Saccharomyces cerevisiae S288C: one gene and its partner. Changing the gene in region 1 together with any one later gene gives a genetic interaction. Each region holds a gene or a part of one and is shown on either strand. Other genes may lie near its edges.

What was found. A genetic interaction does not mean that the proteins touch.
Region 2: mutations in MCK1 (region 1) and AIM22 together harm fitness more than expected from each alone (negative genetic interaction), as found in Saccharomyces cerevisiae (4 studies listed by BioGRID, with this or other methods).

Annotation. Positions count from the first base shown.
Region 1 is NC_001146.8:55,921-59,424, forward strand, and holds MCK1 (serine/threonine/tyrosine protein kinase MCK1), read right to left. Parts: upstream 1,654-3,504; coding exon 526-1,653; downstream 1-525. Other genes in the region: mitochondrial 37S ribosomal protein uS11m MRPS18, read left to right, coding at 2,235-2,888; BXI1 (Bxi1p), read right to left, coding at 2,978-3,504. UniProt on the Saccharomyces cerevisiae protein: May be an autophosphorylating tyrosine kinase, a bifunctional (serine/tyrosine-specific) protein kinase, or a serine kinase that is a substrate for an associated tyrosine kinase.
Region 2 is NC_001142.9:350,832-354,184, forward strand, and holds AIM22 (putative lipoate--protein ligase), read left to right. Parts: upstream 1-1,554; coding exon 1,555-2,784; downstream 2,785-3,353. Other genes in the region: cullin RTT101, read right to left, coding at 1-1,277. UniProt on the Saccharomyces cerevisiae protein: Catalyzes both the ATP-dependent activation of exogenously supplied lipoate to lipoyl-AMP and the transfer of the activated lipoyl onto the lipoyl domains of lipoate-dependent enzymes.

The sequences.
Region 1 (3,504 bases):
TTGTTGAAAACTATGAGCATTTTGCTTTCTGAAGAAATGGTTCTGTTAACTAGATGAGATGAGATTGATATATTTGAAAAATTTTAACCGATGACCTTGCGGCTCCTCCGGGTAATACTTTTTTCTCACATAAATATCAAAAAATAACGACGGTATTTCAATAATACTTTTATATAAGTAATGATAACATGCGAGGCAATTTATTACAAGCCACGTAGGCCTAATTAAAATTATAAACTAACACTAAAGTAATAATAATATTTCAGATTAATAAAAGAACAGGAAATAGGAAAGAGATAAAAAAAAATTAGGAACATAAAATAAAAAATAAAGAAGAAATTGAAGGAGTGACTGGATAAAAGAAGTGTATGATAATATCAAATGGAAATTTGAATATATTTTATTCCAAAAAATTTTTTTTCTTTTCCAAGTGAAATATAAACAGCGGATCAAAGGTGAAAAAAATCATAGTATTTTGTTCATTAAATTTTCCGAGGGGAAAGAGAACAAATTAATAGAAAATTATTATTCAGCAACTTTCGTAGGTTTAATTTTATCAGCAAATTCACCCAGAATTTGTAACTCAAAATCATTAAAATCAAACAAATTTGGTAGCTTGATTGGTTCAGTGAAACCTCTTGGTAAGAAAGTGTCATCATTCCTTAATTCATTAAAGAACTGATGGGCAAGGATTCTTCTTGGAGACAGTCTTTGTTGTGGTTCGTAGACCAATATTTTCATCAAAAGATCGATACCATCTGGACCGGAATGGCCAAAATACTTCTCAAACCTCTGTTGCGAAGAGCCCGAGAACAGTGGTTTGGAAAATAGAGGGCCATCGTAGGCCGGATTCGAAAAGAAAATGAATCTTTTATCGGGAGGACCTAACAATTTAGCAATTTCCCTTAGCTGTAGAAGGGGTTCTTGACCTTGAAATATGGCTTTGCCGATAAGCATCTCGCCCATGACACAACCAAGCCCCCATATATCGATCTGGGTGGTATATTGGGTACAACCAATGATCAATTCAGGCGCTCTATAAAATCTTGAACAGATGTAACTAATTGAAGGCTGGTTATGTTCCAATTTTTTGGCAGACCCAAAATCGCAGATTTTCAAGACACCGGTTTCCGGGTCTACAAGAACATTGGATGGTTTGATATCACGATGACAAACGCCAAGACCGTGTAAATAAAGCATCCCGCGGGCAATCTGATAAGTGTATAGCCTGATATGTTTTAATGGCATTTCTAGCTTGTTTGTCACATAACGATTAATCTCGATTTGTAGAGTTTCTGGTAAGCATTCCATGGCAAGGTGTTGATAAACTTTATTATCTTGCGGGGACAAATGAGTAAAGAAATACTGCAATTTAACGATATTTGGATGGTCGGCAATCCTCAGAATCTGTAATTCCCTGGACTTGTACTCGGTATGAGCAGGGACTTTTTTAATTGCAAAGGGGCCCAACCAGTTTTTCTTATCCTGGGTTAAATATGCTTGTACAACAGTCCCAAAGGCACCTCTACCGATTTTCCTGTACTCTTTCACCAGCATCCGCCTCGTGTTGTTCGATTTATTCGAGGTTACATCGTCTGCAATGAATTCAGATCCCCTTTGCAGAGGAACACCATTCTGCTCTTCCGTAGACATATGTACTAGAATGTGATGGAGTGGGGGTTTCGGAAAATAAAAAGAAAATTGAAAGATGAAGCAAAGAACTCTGTAGTCTTGGGCTTAACTCCTATCAATAAACACGTTACGGGCCTGCCCACACTACTAACACGACACAATGGCACTCACTTGCGAAATCTATGTCGTTTTCCCTTGGAGGTTACGCCTGCCCTCTTCCGCATATGAAGGTCGCTTTTTTCAGTGTTGTTTGTGGGTCACTGAACTGTCATTACATACGAACTGAGTGGAAGCAAGAATGCTGCTTTCGAAAGCCACTACAGCTACGTGTGATCATATAATTCCTGCATAATATGGCTGCATGCTTTTTAATGATAGCTTCAATTATGATGATAATCACTGAGCTACTAGTATTCCATTATTCAGCCTAAGATTGGAACTTTCTATAGCAGCGGAGAGTGTTTGTTTCGTACTTCGTGACTGTTTGGCATAATAACGATGAATTGGGAAAGAGGGAAGACAAAATGAGAGTAAATCAGGTGGAAAGCAGTGGTTCTTCTGAAAAGAAAAAGTGACAGTGTGAACTGTTATAGTTACGTGTGATGCTGTTACAACCTGTTTGGAAAGGCTGCCGATGGACGCAGTTTGTCAGGCCTATCAGAAGATGGAATTCTACCGGCACGAATAGAGGAGTTCCTTTTTCATTTAAGGATATTTCAAATCAGGAGGATATCACGAATATCTCGTATCCTTCGTCCTCTGACTCAGTTTTGACAAAGTCAAATGGTAGTAGTGAGGTTTACAAGCCCAAAGAGGAAGTAGTTAAGTACATTCTACATGGCAAGTTTACTAAAAATAACACGCATTTGACATTTTCAAGCGTTGTGGAGGACAAGAACTTTCATAAGAATAAGGGACTTACGTATAATGATACAATGCTGTACTATTTGAACTTACCCCAGAAAGTGAAGATTTCGCTATCTACAGGTTGTTTAGGGTTTAGGAAGGCAGCAAGAGGGGAGTATGAAGCTGCATTTCAAACCAGTGGTAGAATGTTTGAATTGATTAAGGAAAAGAACATGCTGAACAAAGATATCGAAGTGGTGATGGACGACTTTGGGAAGGGCAGAGCTGCTTTTATTTCCGCTCTTGTTGGTAAGGAAGGGGCCAGTGTGGTGAAAAAGGTTGTGAAGATCAGCGATGCCACCAAATTGAAGTTTGGTGGTGTAAGATCACCAAAGATGAGAAGACTATGATCAGCTCCCACTATGTATGAATTATAAACTATGTAAAAGAAGAAGAAATATATATATATTCGTGTAAATAATTCGATTTTTCCCTTTTTTTAATTGTCGTCGTTAGAGTTGGCCAAAATCCTTAAAATAGACAAAAACAAATTGACGATGTCCAGGTAAAGCATCATGGCGCATCTAACTTCTTCATCAGGATACACTTTCCTAAAAATCAGTTGCGTATCGATGAAAAGATACGCGGTAAATAAAATGGCACCAAGCCAGCCGTAAAGCAGATTAAACTTGGAAGAGTGGGTATTCCAGCCGAAAAGCAAGGCCGTGAGACCCATTCCGATCATAATCCATAGACCCCAGTTTAACCAATAGTATATTGACGTTGCGGAATTCAGCACGTTCTCGAATCTCTCTGATAGTGCGGTCAAGGAAACGCCGACTACGACGATGGTGGTGATCAGCAGAGCCGAAAGTACTGTATCCTTATCGTACGCTAAGGTTACCAGCGACAGACAGTAAGCCTCGGAAAGAGTGAAAATGGAGAGCAGCGTGAGCTTTTGCTTGTACGAGGACAAGACGTACCAAGGCAGACGCCTTTGCTCTTGTGCCGGCTCTTCGCTGCTGC
Region 2 (3,353 bases), on another chromosome or scaffold:
CTTCCAAGTAAATTACATAAATGGTACTCGATGGAATCGGAGTATATTTTGAGGTGATCTACATTAGCTAGCTGAACTACCTCATCAAATAGCCTTTCAGTATCATGATTGGATCCATATGCTGCCTTTAACTTTTCTGAAACGGCATCATCACAGAATTCCTTGAATTTTGACAGCATATTTTTTGCTTCAAAAGCATTTCTAAACATCAATAAGCTAAAGTGTGTCTCAGTTTTGAAATATCTCTCTTTTTCTTCATCATAAGTGTCCTTCCCAATTTCTATGTATTCGCTAATAGACTTCTTGTTCAACAGTAGATGGCTTATAAATAGGTCATTTGCATCGCTGACCCATTCAGGGGAAAATAAAGATGCTAATAATGCATTCCTCGTCAATAGTACCTTAAAATTCTTGAAAGTTTCCAGCCTCGGCCTTAAATTTGATTCCTCACAGTAATATTGTCTGAGAGTTTTCATATAAAAATCTTTGGGGCTCAAGCCCTCTATACTAAAATTGCAGTTAGACATTATACGGAGCATAGGAACTTCCTTCTCTAACATTGTATTCGTTATTGGAAACATATGAATATAGTGATGAATAGTAGCGCTTACAAGGGTGGAAAATTCCCTTCCAAAATGTGACTTCATACATTCGAAAAGTTTGGAATCATAATACTGAAATATCGTTAAGGTCTCAAATCCTAGTTCTTTTCTTATCATGGGATAATTTACCGGCACATACGATATAATAGGACCAACGGCACCCATTACGTACTGAAATAGCTTGTAAAAAGAGGTCCAATTTTTGGGTATAATTTCATAAGAATAGTCGCATCTGGTCAAAAAGCTAAGGACGTGCGCGTCAATTATTAACTTTGCCAATTCATCACAAAATTCTTGAAAACTCAGCACAATTTGGTGTTGATGTAGCAGCTGAAACTTCTTTTGCTTTTCGTCATTCCCATTAAATTCTGAGTTGTAAGGAATGTATGATTTCCTTTGCGTTAATTCACGGCAATTGTTCAACATCTTAGGCATTAGCTTTCTAAATTTAGCGGCCTTTTCTTTATTACACTCCAATTCTTTCACGTCAGTTTCAGTTATAGTTTCAGCTAAAGTAAGGTGAAAAAACTCGTGCAGCTCAGCAATCATCGTTCGATACCTGGGATTTCGCTCATCGTTAAATTTATTGTATAGTCCTAAAGCGTTGCTTGCACTCGTCTCTCTGCTTATAGACTCGTGGAATCCTTCTCTCTTGGAAACGCTCTCATTTATCATTGTTCCTGTGAACCCGTACGAGAATTTATACCAGTAAAAAAGATTGGTGGGTTTAATATCTTGAGGATTCCTTCAAAGTAGTCTTTTAGTGCAAAGATATCGATGATCTTCATTCGCATTGTTCATATTCATCATTACGCAAAGGATAGCTATGCGTTCCGCTTCGTCATACTTAATCAGGAATATTGAACATCCAAAAATCTCCGAGCTCACGTATGTAGAATTTTTGATGAATACAAAAGAAGAAAACACTAGACTTTTCTTTGATGTTTACATTATGTCTATGATGCTAAGTAATTGGGCACTCTCCCCTCGATATGTGGGACAGCGAAACCTCATACATTGCACCACTTTATTTCACACACTTACACGATGGGCAAAAGACGCAGACGATAAATATCATGATATAAACTCAATGTATGAAAACATGTTTACACCTTCAAATGATAACGTTTCAATTTTGCAGGATGAAGGTAAATCTGATTATGATACGACGAAGGCCAGCTCTATGGAAGAAGATATCAGTGCTTTTAATAAAGACTTGTACAATTTCTATAATATTGGATATGCCAAACAGATCATGTCTGCTTCACAATTGGAAAATATAGTAAAGGCAAAGGGCAGATTTGTTATACAAAGTTTATCCACCAGTCCTTATTATAATTTGGCCCTTGAAAACTATGTTTTCAAGAATACACCAAGAGCCAAAAGAGGTCCCGATAATTGCAGACTGTTATTTTACATCAATGATAGGTGCGCCGTTATAGGCAAAAACCAAAATCTGTGGCAGGAAGTAGATCTTGCTAAGCTGAAGAGTAAGAATTTCGAACTACTTAGAAGATTTTCTGGAGGTGGCACTGTACTGCATGATTTGGGCAATGTTAATTATTCATATTTAACATCAAGGGAGAAATTCGAAACAAAGTTTTTCAACAAAATGATAATTAAGTGGTTAAATTCATTGAATCCCGAACTAAGACTAGATTTGAATGAGAGAGGAGATATTATTCAGGACGGGTTTAAAATTAGTGGCAGTGCTTATAAAATTGCCGGTGGCAAAGCATACCATCATGCAACGATGTTGCTTAATGCGGATTTAGAACAGTTTAGCGGCTTATTAGAACCCTCACTACCGAACAATATGGAATGGGAGTCAAGTGGAGTTCATAGTGTAAAATCAAAAATCAAAAATGTTGGTATAATTACTCCTAATCAGTTCATTGCAGTGGTATCCGAGCGTTTTCAGAAAACATTCAAAGTTGACGGCGAAATACCTATATATTACTGTGACGAGTTTAAATCTATAAACGATGAGATTAAAGATGCTATGAACACCTTACAGAGCGAACAATGGAAATATTTCTCGGGGCCTAAATTTTCAGTGAAGATTAAAGATAAAGGCTTAACAATTAAAGTCGAAAAGGGCATGATTTATGATTGTGATAGAAATGATTTAATCGGCTTGGAATTCAAAGGATTTTTGGAGAATATTGACAGTTACACATAACGTTGATGAATATTTCAATTCACTTGTAAATAACGTAGGTAAATATCAAAATTAAAGTCTTTCACCGGAAACTGATTCAGCATATTTCAGCAGACGCGTCCTAGATTCACAGCAAACTTCAATATAAGCGATACATTAGGAGTGTTCGTACTTTAGATCTATAAGAACTATATTTTGTTACGATTCAGCCGTCTCTAAATGTGAACTAAATATTTATACTGTTATTTGAGAAACCGACAGATAGTACTTAATTTTATCGATCATCTAAGAATAGCATCGGTATTGTGGTGACATTTATTGAATTTCTTCCGCTCCAGAATAAAGTTCCTTTTCACTTCAAAAAACTGCCACCAGTAAAGTTGCACCAGTGGTTTTTGAGCATTTTTTGTCAATGTCGCTTAACCGTTCTTGAACTGTATCCTCTTGACGTCGATAAAATCATTTGTAAAAACCAGGCCAAATCATCATTGAATAATTTACACTGTGTCTTCAATGTCGCCATTTGGACCAATAATTATCAAACTGTTCACAATTCACTCAAAGTCCTTTCAGCAACATTCTTATGAAAC